Linked DNA regions of Coturnix japonica. The protein of the gene in region 3 binds, or shares a complex with, the protein of the main gene of each other region. Links are inferred from orthologs where the notes say so. Each region holds a gene or a part of one and is shown on either strand. Other genes may lie near its edges.

Region 1 (2,683 bases), on a different chromosome or scaffold from region 3:
CAGCATCCTTTACAGTGTCCCCCTTAGCCTCACTCTCAGCATCCTTTGCAGCCTCCCCTTTAGCTTCACCCACAGCATCCCTTGCATCCTCCCCCTTAGCCTCACTCCCAGCATCTCCTGCCATGCTGACCTCACTCACAGCATCCCCTACTGCCTCCCCCTTAGCCTCACTCCCACAGTTCTTCTCTGCTTCTACCTCGCCCCCAATCCTCGTATCCCCTGCACTCTCCCCCCCAGCGCCCCCTTCATCCCCCCCAGCCTCCCCCTGCCCTTCCTGTGCTGCACTTTCCCCGCTGTCCCCCCCCACCATCCCCTCTGTGGGCCCTGTTGATGTCTGTGTGAGGTCACCCAGGGCAGTGTCATTTGGGGTTGGGGCTCCATCGGTTGTTGTGGACTCCATGCTCCTACTGTGGGCTGCAGGGTTGTCACTGAAGTATCCACCGTGCCTTCCACCCCATGCAATCCCATTGCACTTCTGTCCCTCAGCGTTCCTCCTGCCCGCCCACCCCATCGGCCCCAACACAGCTCCCAGTCCCCATCCCATCCCCATTATTTATCCCTTCCCATCCACCTCGACCCAACCCCCACCCCCCACTCCTGTCCCCAAACCCCTCCCTCCCCCCTGCACACCCCAACCCAACCCATTCCCCATTCATGTTTTCCTCCTGCCCCCTCCCAGCTCCTCCAGCTCAGTCCCAACTCCACAACTCACTCCCTACCCCCAACCCCGACCCCCCTCCATCCCGTCCTATCCTCGTTTCTCACCCCAAACCCCCGACGTCCCCCCCAGCCCCCCGGCGCCCCATATCCCGGCTCACCGCTCTCCGCTCTCCCCGCGGCCGTGTGACCGCCGCAGGTGCCGCCTTCAGTCAGCGCCGACGGGGCGGGTCGGGGGCCGGAGAGGGGCACAGCGGGGAGGGGACGGGACGGGACGGGGGGGAGAGGAGGCCGGGCGGGGCCTGGGGATAGCGGGGACTGCGGGATGGAACGGGGACACAGGGACACGGACACGGGGGGACGCGTGCACGTGAGGACATGGGGGGACGTGGAGGCGATATCGGGGGGATATGAGGGTCACGAGTGGGCACGGAGACACGGCACATGGAGGAGATGGGTGATGCGTGGGACACGAGGGGACACGGGGGACACATATATGGGAGAGAAGGGTGACAAAGGGAACACAGAGTGCCCTGATCTGTGGGGGGACATAGGGGACACATTGACATAGAGGGACACGGGGCCATAGACCCGTAGCAGACACAGACACGAGGGGGCAGAGCCGTGAGGGCAGACCCACGGGGACACGCGGAGGTCACGCGTGGGCCGGGCCGGCCCCGATCCATCCCTGCCCTCCATCGCCTGCCCCCGCCCACCCCGCTCCGCACCGCTCCCCACGTCCCATCAGCGCTGAGAACGAGCCGTTGTCCCGCCCCCACCCGTCTCCTATTGACCGAGAGCGGCGGCGGGGCGGAGCGCCTGAGCGTGTGGGCGGAAGCGCGTCCCACGTGCATCCTGCGGGAGCGCGGTGCGGGAGCGACATGGACCCGCTGCGGGCACAGCAGCTGGCGGCAGAGCTGGAGGTGGACATGATGGCCGACATGTACAACCGGTGCGCGGCCTGACGGGACGGGCCGGGGCCTGGGGGTAGTGCCCGGGACAGGGAGGGGCTGGGAGAGCGAGAGGCGCGTGGGTGTCGCGGGTGGGGGCTGTGCGGGGGCTGTGCGGGTGCCGGGGGTGGGGGGTGCCGGGCAGAGCCGTGGGGTGACGGTGTTGTCCCTCAGGATGACGCAGGCGTGTCACCTCAAGTGCGTGCCCCCACACTACAAGGAGGCGGAGCTGTCGAAAGGCGAGAGCGTGTGCCTGGACCGCTGCGTGGCCAAGTACCTGGATGTGCACGAGCGGATGGGCAAGAAGCTGACGGAGCTGTCGCTGCAGGACGAGGAGCTCCTGAAGCGCATGCAGCAGGGCACGGGCACCGCCTGAGCCCTCCCTTCGGACTCCCCTTCCCATCGTACCAATAAACTGGAGGCTCTGGGCCAGCTGTGTGCTTCCCTCGGCCCCCCAAACCCGTCTGTGGTGCTGTGTCAGGGGGTGTCCCACTAACCTACTGGAGATGGGGGCACCCCGGCGTGTCTGCTGTGCCCACGTCAGCCTCGGGGATAGGCTGAAACCTTCCTTATCCCTTATGGGGTCAGGACAGGGCTGTGCCCCTCACTCTGCTTGCTGGGGGGACACTGGGGAGCACCTGGAGAAATGGCCACAAAGGGACACCTGCAGGGGGGCAGTGAGAAAACAGCACACCTGCATGGGGACAGGCACAGAGACATTTGGTATGGATGGCTGGAGAGGGACAGTGCCCTTTCCACACCTGGAAAAGGACCACACAGGGACACCCACGTGGGGACACTTAGGGGGGGACACCTGGATGGAAACAACCCCAGAGCCACACATACAGATGTGCACACATGTGTAGGGAAGACCTGCACAGGGTTACTAGATGGGAACACCCAGCCAGAGACACCCCAGCCTGGGGGTGGGCACTGTGTGTCCATCCACCCGTACACACACAGTGCGCCTGTGCCGGTGTGTCCCCGGGGCTGGCTGGAAGTGGGTCAGGCTGCGCGCACACTCACTGTCCTCACAGCTTGTGGGTCGCATTACGCCCCACCGTGAGCCTGTCGTG
Region 2 (4,177 bases), on a different chromosome or scaffold from region 3:
CCCCTCCAAACGCTTCAGCATGAATATCACATTAGCAACAACTGGGAACTTATCGTGCAGAATCAGAGCTCAGGATCTGCTGTGCTTCTCCAGATGCTGATCTCTTTGCTCAAGGCTGTGGGAAGCAACAGTGACTTTCTTACCATGTGTGGTACAAAAATGGCCTCCACAGGATCTTCCACTACAAGCAAATGTTCTGGGTGACCCTTAGTACACTGGACTCCTGAAAATAAAAGCAATTTTACTGCGGTTAAAGAGATCTTGAACGTGTTGTCGTTACCCCTTGATTAACCCAAATCTCAGTCTATTCTCTGCCTGGTGGCCCTGCCAGGCAGGGGGGTTGGAACTACATGATCCTTGAGGTCCCTTCCAACCCGGGTCATTCTGTGATTCTGTGATAGAGATCTAAATATAACTCTCATCACACAAATGACCGCAGTTATCTACCTGAACCTTATGAAATGGAAATGGTTTACATAATGCTACCAGAGGCAGTTTTCATGCAGATCACAGAACCCAGGTTGGAAGGGACCTCAAGGATCATGTAGTTCCAACCCCCCTGCCTGGCAGGGCCACCAAACATACACCTTTACTAGATCAGGTTGCCCAGGGCCCCGTCCAACCTGGTCTTGAACACCTCCAAGGACGGGGCATCCACAACCTCACTGGGCAGCCTGTTCCAGGGCCTAACCACTCTCCTAGTGAAGAACTTCCTCCTGACATCCAACCTAAATCTTCCCTCTTTTAACTTAAAACCATTTCCCCGTGTCCTGCTATTGTCAGCCCTTTCCAAGAGTTTACTCCCCTCCTGGGAGTAAGTTCCCTTCAGGTATTGAAAGGCTGCAATGAGGTCACCCCGCAACCTTCTCTTCTCCAGGCTGAACAAACCCAACTCCCTCAGCCTGTCCTCATAGGGGAGGTGCTCCAGCTCCCTGATCATCTTCCTGTCCCTCCTCTGGACCTTTAACAAAATCTCCATGTCTTTATTATACTGAGGGCTCCACACCTGGACACAAATAACACGTAACCAATAAATACCTGCGCTGCGGGTCGCGACATCGACAATTTTACAGCTGTAAAATCCTCCTGCTGCTCTCACCCCGTGGACGCTGGTGGAGCGAATGAGCACATCGCCTGCAGTCAGGCTGACCAGAGAGTCCCGGCTGGAGCTGCTCTCCGCTTCCATGCAGGCTTCATAGCGGTGCAGCTATGGGCGGTGCTTTAAAGGCAGACCCTAAGGGCCGTGTGAGGGTAGGCCGCTGCGACAGCCGCCATGGTAACAGCGCCCGCTCAGCCTGGGTCGCGCACTGATGACGTACTTCCTTCCAGGGACTCGAATCGGCGGGTTTAGAGCTGAGTGTTTCCGGCTGGTGGCGGTGAGTGCGCTCAGGGCGGCGGGGAAGGGCCGCGGTGTGGGCAGGGAGCACAAGGTGCCCTTGAACAGGAGAGCTGAGGGGTGTGGGGAACGAGTGAGGGGCTTCATCTCTGTGCTGTTATGGGCTGAGGCATCAGGTAGGACTGGAAGCGCCCTGCTGTCCCTTGGGAAGGCCTGGCCGTGCGGGCCATAAGGCCGCGTTACCACTGCGCCGCCAGGGGGCAGCGAGGGAATGGCTTATAACCCTATGGGTGCTATGCACATGAGGCTGGAAGAGTGAAGGACGAGACGAGTGTGGCCTTGTAGTCATCAACAGGCCTTGACCATGCACCAAAAGCCATATTTCCAGCGGAGGGCCACTAAGATGGTGAAGGGCCTGGAGTATCTCCACTATGAGGAGAGACTTAGGGAACTGGGTCTGTTTAACCTTGAGAAAAGAAGGCTGAGAGGGGACTTGATCCAGGTTTATAAATACCTGAGGTGTGGGAGCCTTAGTGGTGAGTCTGGTCTCTTTTCAGTAGTGTGTGGGGATAGGACTAGGGGTAATGGGATGAAAGTACAGCATAGGAAGTTCCTTAATAAGAACTTCTTTACAGTGAGGGTGACGGAGCACTGGAACAGGCTGCACAGGGAGGTGGTGGAGTCTCCTTCTCTGGAGATATTCAAGACCCGCCTGGACGCTGACCTGTGTGACATGGTGTAGGGAGCCTGCTTTGGCAGGGGGGTTGGACTCGATGATCTCTAGAGGTCCCTTCCAACCCCTACAGTTCTGTAATTCTGTGTAATAATAAGCCTGTGGTGCACACAATGCTTGCAGAGGGTGCTTCAAATGTGTAAAATGAGATGGTGCCATCGGGTTGTTTTAAGTCAGAGCTGCTTCCCAAGTGCAAGTGTACAAGCTTTGTGAAGCAGCAGCTCAATTATACGTAATGTTAAGCTTGGCAAGCAAGTGACAGAAGTGGAAGATTTCAGGTTTGTTGTATGCAGACACAGTGAAGCAATGCTGAGTGTGAGAAAGGCACTGGGAGGGTCTGAAGCTGAAGAGGACAAAAGTCTTTCCTCTGCTGTCTGTGGGCTTGGGCTGCCTGTTTAATCATCAACTTAAAGTGGATTGGCAGCGTTCTCACTCTTGGTTTTCTTTCTCTTGTAACAGACAGAAATGGGAGAGTAGAACTGCCATCCATTTCAGTTGTTCTCCCAGATGACAACTGTGTCCGCTTAATGCAAGTGAGAGGTTACAATGGCTTCAGCAATGCTTTGCTTCTCTGTATTTCATAGGTTCTCTTTAAAAGAGAGTGATTTAGTGTAGGGTTTTTAGAGATAGGGTTCTGGTTAGGCTGCGGTTGGACTTAAAGATCTTCAAGGTCTTTTCCAACCTGAGTAATTCTATGATTCTGTGATCTATTGACTTGTGAGGCATTCCTGGTCGCAGGGATGGATATCTTAAACCCAAGAACCACATGCATTCCTTATCTTCAATCCCTGAATTCTATGGCTCTGTTCTTCCTATGTAGCAACAAAGCATAACTTCAAGAAGCAGCTATTTACCATTGCTCCACTGCTGGGAGGAGGAGGGTGGCTGCATGTTTGCAGGAGCTCTGCTTTGCTATTTTAGTTGCTTCATTTGCTTTCCCTTGTAGAAATAACTCTTTTTTTGTTCTTGTTCAGAATAATTAGTAGCTGTGCTCACAACAAGCTTTCCTCACAAAGAGATTCTAGCTTGGCACTGACTTCTCTTCCACGCATTACTGCGAATAAGACTGAAGGATCATCTTCTCTTCAGGGTGTAACATTAACTGGCATTACCACGGGTGATGGACCTTGGTAATACATCAGGCATGGGAAAGGAAGGCGTGCTTTCATTACGATTGAAGGCTGCCTAGAGATGTACATTCAAGCCTTAACTTGTTTATGAGGAATGCAAGCCATCCTTAAGGATGCTTGCTTCAATTCTTGGATCCCTGGCTGCTCATTCTTCCCTTTTCATTGATCTGTTTTTCTTTCTTTAAGGCTGCCCTCATTCTGTTCCCATTTATTGCATTTCATTTGCTATATTCAATGACCAGAACACTGACTCTAGTTTAAGTGTTTGGTGAGAATGCAGCTGCATTGAGTCCATTCATCCATTTCTGATCCATGCTGGTTCATTCAAAGTTGGCACTGTTTCATATTTTTTTTGCCTGTTCTTTAAATGACAGCTAAAGGCACTGAATTAAAAGGCTACATAATATTACTGCTTGCTTCTCCTCCACTCCAGTTTTACTTCATGCACTTGAAAGCCTTTATAAAAATTCCATACCTTTCTTCACCCTCCTGTATAGTCATTTCAGCTGTTCTAAATGCTTATGAAGTGTTTAAAGGACAGCAGTTAGCAGGTAGATCTGGAAAGAACTCAGCATCTTGAACTATCTGGGATATTCTTCTAGCTGAATACAGGTCAGATAACTTTGAATGGGTGGTTTGAAAGCTTGCTGGCACCATTGCATTTAAGTAACCTTAAGGAACACGTTCAGCTTGGTTCTCTCCAAAAATGTTGTTGTCTGTGCATAAGCTTTTTGTGTAGAACTCAACTTATATCTTCAGAACAGGTGACAGAATCTCAGGGAGCAGAATATGGCCGGACAGATATCAGAAACTGATCAGATCAAGCAGGTGAGTGCTGTGTTTGTCAGCAGTGCATTTGAACATCTTCTATTAATTTGTCACATAGAGTAAAATGTACAGTGCATGGAGCAGAAGGAAAAGCTCTCTATATTGTCCTCTGAGATGATATTAGTTCTTTATCAAGCAACATTTTCACAT
Region 3 (4,262 bases):
CAAGAAGTCCCCTCTAGGTCCTGCTGGACTAAAATCTCAGTGCTCCTGCTCTTGTACAGCTACATAGAATTGCCTCTTTGAGACAGGAGAAAGGAGGGAGGCATTGTACAAGCTGATCAAGTTAACAGAGTTCCTGCCAGTGAAACAATATATCTAAGTAGAGCTCTATTAACACAAGAGCTGTAACTTCAGCGAGTTGCTCAGAACATATTTTTGGCTCCCTCTCCATGACACCCCAGTAGCATGTGGAGAGCTACCAGCACCATTTCCTCATTTGCTTTCAAGTCACTTCTGTTCATTTCTCTCCGCTCTCCCTGTCCTGTACAACCAGCCTTCCCTACCCACACATATCTTTCAAGATGACAGGAAAGAGACAGAGATGACAGTTCTGCCAACTTCAAGCACATTCTCATGCTGACATCAACATAACCCCATACAGAGAGATTTGCAGCGTGCGTTGCCTTAAAAATGCTGCTTGTTACCATCCCAAATTGCTGCCTTATCACAGCAGTTGCTACCAGGCATCACCAACCTCTGAAGCCAATCGCTCCTCCTGTGATGCAGCCACTAATAACGCTGTTCCTCCAGTCTGACTTTCCACGATACTGTGGAGTTAAAAAACAAGAGACAACAAGTAAACATGGAATAACAATTCGACATCTGTACTAACACCAAGGGAGGTGAAGCCTTCCAGCCCTGTTTCAGATGAGGATGCTTTTCCTTCTGCTCTCAGCAGATGGCCCCCCTGCACTGTAAAAGTTTTTATGTGGCCAGGAGGAGGGGAAGGAGCAGGTCAGCAGGAGAGGTAAGACACATCCGCATGGTGCAATGCAGTGCTACAGCACACTCTCAGATGAGCCCATACAGCCCCCACAAGGCAGCACAGTGCACCGGCACCAGCTCACAGACAATTTAAAGGCACTGTGAGCACAGCATGGCCATGCAGCCATGAGAGCAAACAGCAGCCTGCGGGCAAACATTAGCTATTAGCTAGTTTTTCACCAGTGCAACGTGTTTGTTCTGCTTCGTTGTGCACACAGATACACTTTTCTTTTACACGGATTAAGAACTAATTGTGTTTTTCGATTGAAGGACAGTACTGACATTCATAACAGGCTCATCTTCCTATTTAAGAAAACGGGTGATAGCTTTACCACTGAGCAGCACGAGGTCGTTTCCTGCTGTAGGGGCAAGATGAAAACAGCCCTATTACTTCAGATCTTTCATCAAAGGATCCCTTTCTTCACATGTACTTTTTAGAGGCTCAGATGGCCACGTTGCAACTCCCAGTTTGATGTTTTAACACAACTATGAGTTGTTTGGAGCTAAAGTTTCAAAAATCAATGCCAAAATCCAGGACTTGAACTGGAAAGCTCTTCACTGTTGCATGCAGCTCTGCTTATTCCAACACAGAACAGTTCTGAAAACCTTTAGAACTGAAAAGCTTAAATGATCAAGAAGCAAAAGGCAACGAGCCAATCCCTCACCACAGTGGTTTGGACTCATGAAAGGCGCTCAATGGTGTATAATAAAAGCTCCCATAGTAACGTTTGAGGGTCGTTACTCACCGATTCCACCACGCACTCGGTGCAGGAGAACATGGCGCCCACAATGGCGAAGTTCTTGGCGTAGGAAATGCCGCGCTGCCCCATGTCCTTCAGCACCTCCTTGGCTGTCGGGGTGCGATACGGGTCCTTGGGGTCGAAGCCCACATTGGTGTCGATGCCAGCAGTGAAGATCCCAAAGGCTCCTCCAAGAACAAACCCTGGGGAAGACAACAGCTATGAAATGAAGCTCTGGATTGGAGCAGTGATCCAACACTCACAGGGTTAGAGCTGCTCTGGTCTTAAGGGCAGCATGAAGGGCTGATGTGCTGCAGACACTGATCTGATCACAGAATCACAGAATTGTAGGGGTTGGAAGGGACCTCTAGAGATCATCAAGTCCAACCCCCCTGCCAAAGCAGGCTCCCTACACCACATCACACAGGTAGGCATCCAGGTGGGTCTTAAATATCTCCAGAGAAGGAGACTCCACCACCTCCCTGTGCAGCCTGTTCCAGTGCTCCGTCACCCTCGCTGTAAAGAAGTTCTTATTAAGGAACTTCCTATGCTGTACTTTCATCCCATTAGCCCTAGTCCTGTCCCCACGCACTACTGAAAAGAGACCAGCCTCACCACTATGGCCCCCACACCTCAGGTATTTATAAACCTGGATCCAATCCCCTCTCAACCTTCTTTTCTCAAGGCTAAACAGACCCAGTTCCCTGAGTCTCTCCTCATAGGGGAGATGCTCCAGGCCCTTCACCATCTTAGTGCCCCCTTTAGTGCAGGCACACAGCACAGAGAGTTCTATCTTAAACTGGAGGGGAAGGTGGGAGCCCCTTCCCCGTGTCCATGGGCTGGAATTGCCCTTAAGATCTGACAGACCCTCATCCCCCCCCTCAGCCCCAACCCAACACCGTGTGTCCCCCACCCCCCCTCACCCCCCACGCAGGCCAAGGCCGCTTTGAAGGCGCAGCTCTCCATGGCTCTCTCCACCATCTTCTGCTCGTCGCTCTTGTTCGGGCAGGGGATGCCCCCGAAGCTGTTGGGGTCCCACACTCGGGGTCGGCGTTGCTCGCCCACCAGGTGCTGCAGCACAGCGCTGTATTGCAGCGGAGGCTGCGAACCGCCCGGCGGTGCGGCCGCCATTATTGTCCTCCGCGTAACGAGGAACCGGCAGCGCGGCTTCCGTAGCGCGCGGGGGTTGATGGGTGTTGTAGTTTCACTAACAGAGACTCCCGCTGTGAGGCGCGCTGCCGAGACTCCATTTCCCAGCGTTCCCCGCGGCAGCGCCATGACACTGAACTACAGCTCTCGGCGTGCTTTGCGGAGAGACACGCGATTGGCCGCGCTGAGGGCTGGGAGCCCCGTTACCCGGCGTACAGCGCCCCCTGGTGGCCATTGGGGGCGGTGCAGTGAGGTGAGCGCTCCGGCTGCACGAGCATCCAACGGGGCGGCAGCGATAAGAGGCAGCGATAGGAGACTGCGATAAGAGGCAGCGATAGGAGGTGAGAGCGGCTACGGGGGGGATGGAGCGGGGATGGGACGGCCACGGGGATGGGGAGGGATGAGGAGCCGCAGTGCGGGGCCGATCTGCCTCCGGTGTGTCGTTAAGCTCGGAGGGGTCGTTAAGCTTTGAGGGGTCGCTCCGTTCCCGGAGTGACTTCTATCTTTAGGGATAACAGCTCAACCTCAACACGGGGCTGAGAGCTGCGGGTCCTGCCGTGGTCGTTCTGCACAGCCCCGGGCTGAGCCCTGCGGGTGGGTGTCCCCCTCGTAGCACTCAGGGCTCAGCTGAGCTGTGCGTGGTGCTGGGATCATCCTGCGGCCCATCCGAGCAGCACTGCGCTGCCCCGGGCACACGGAGAGGCAGCTTGACATCAAAGGTGCTTAGAGAGCAAAAAAAGTCTGTCTTTTTGTCATAAAATGCAAACCGAGCTCGCAGCGAGTCATATAGAAACCTCAGCCCTTCCGCGCTTACCCTGTTTGGTAGCAGGGTGGGAAACTCTTCTTCTGTGCCCCCCCTCAGCTGAACGAGGAGGAGCTGCCAAGGTTTAAAGCCTTCACCCACACGCTCTGTGCCTTGTGTTGCTGTTCTGTGCAGCAGGAGCAGCGCTCTGCTCAGCCCAGCACGATGCAGGTGGGTCTGCTTGGAAGGAATAGCCTGGTTGGCTTCAATGTTGGCTTGGTTTAACTTTAGAAGTTGCCCACAGGTTTTGAAGCCCTGAGGTGGTTTCAGCAGATGAGATGAGGTGGCTTCAGATCGTTGTGCTGAGAACTGAAAACGATATCAAAGATCTGTTGGTTGTTCTTAAGTGATGTGTTAAGTGTGACATCTTCCTGATGCCATTCATTGCTCTGAATGGGGACTGCTTAGAAACCCAAAGGATCCACAATCATTTATTTTCTATTTCTTTTCATTTTTAACATTTCTTGCCCTGTATCTTGTCTGTGCTGGATACGCAGGTTCAAATAACAACCTGGTTTGATGGTTCTTCAAATGAAGTGATGGTGTTATTTTCAATAACTTTCCTCTTTTCCTATTAAATTCCACTGCCCTCTGCTGGCTGGACCATCAGACCTGCCCAGAGCTCTTCCCCCACTATTCTTTTACTCTTTAAGGCTTTTTATATCTTAAGGTCAGAAGCTGTTGCAAAGCTTGCTGTTAATGTCTACTACAATGGGATCCTTATACAAAAGAGGAGGTTGGTGGCAGGT

The links.
Region 1: the proteins of TIMM22 (region 3) and TIMM10 are in contact, whole or in part, in a cryo-EM structure (PDB 7CGP), measured with the Homo sapiens proteins. The link is inferred for Coturnix japonica from reciprocal best matches to the Homo sapiens genes TIMM22 and TIMM10. Residues at the interface, in NP_037469.2 of Homo sapiens: Tyr25, Ser26, Leu28, Leu29, Gln30, Tyr31, Leu32, Val33, Arg40, Leu42, Leu47, Gly48, Glu67, Glu144, Ser145, Tyr146, Gly148, Ser150; in NP_036588.1 of Homo sapiens: Pro3, Ala6, Gln7, Leu9, Ala10, Ala11, Leu13, Glu14, Val15, Met17, Met18, Ala19, Tyr22, Ser44, Lys45, Gly46, Glu47, Arg53, His62, Glu63, Gly66, Leu69, Thr70, Ser73, Met74.
Region 2: the proteins of TIMM22 (region 3) and TIMM9 are in contact, whole or in part, in a cryo-EM structure (PDB 7CGP), measured with the Homo sapiens proteins. The link is inferred for Coturnix japonica from reciprocal best matches to the Homo sapiens genes TIMM22 and TIMM9. Residues at the interface, in NP_037469.2 of Homo sapiens: Asp35, Arg37, Gln38, Pro39, Arg40, Leu42, Gly45, Ser46, Leu47, Gly49, Ile50, Ser52, Pro53, Lys60; in NP_001291414.1 of Homo sapiens: Gln13, Glu16, Phe17, Thr20, Leu57, Thr60, Gln61, Met65, Phe67, His71, Gln74, Asn75, Leu78, Lys81.

Annotation. Positions count from the first base shown.
Region 1 is NC_029520.1:7,775,152-7,777,834, reverse strand, and holds TIMM10 (mitochondrial import inner membrane translocase subunit Tim10), read left to right. Parts: upstream 1-1,470; 5' UTR 1,471-1,538; coding exon 1,539-1,609; intron 1,610-1,781; coding exon 1,782-1,983; 3' UTR 1,984-2,070; downstream 2,071-2,683. Other genes in the region: SMTNL1 (smoothelin-like protein 1), read right to left, coding at 1-511.
Region 2 is NC_029520.1:50,193,354-50,197,530, forward strand, and holds the start of TIMM9 (mitochondrial import inner membrane translocase subunit Tim9), read left to right. Parts: upstream 1-1,278; 5' UTR 1,279-1,376; intron 1,377-1,407; exon of another isoform or gene 1,408-1,430; intron 1,431-1,460; exon of another isoform or gene 1,461-1,512; intron 1,513-2,142; exon of another isoform or gene 2,143-2,602; intron 2,603-3,958; 5' UTR 3,959-3,988; coding exon 3,989-4,027; intron 4,028-4,177. Other genes in the region: KIAA0586 (protein TALPID3), read right to left, coding at 144-223, 1,039-1,186. UniProt on the Homo sapiens protein: Mitochondrial intermembrane chaperone that participates in the import and insertion of multi-pass transmembrane proteins into the mitochondrial inner membrane.
Region 3 is NC_029534.1:5,110,342-5,114,603, forward strand, and holds the start of TIMM22 (mitochondrial import inner membrane translocase subunit Tim22), read right to left. Parts: upstream 2,856-4,262; 5' UTR 2,841-2,855; coding exon 2,486-2,840; intron 1,766-2,485; coding exon 1,569-1,765; intron 606-1,568; coding exon 533-605; intron 1-532. UniProt on the Homo sapiens protein: Essential core component of the TIM22 complex, a complex that mediates the import and insertion of multi-pass transmembrane proteins into the mitochondrial inner membrane. In the TIM22 complex, it constitutes the voltage-activated and signal-gated channel.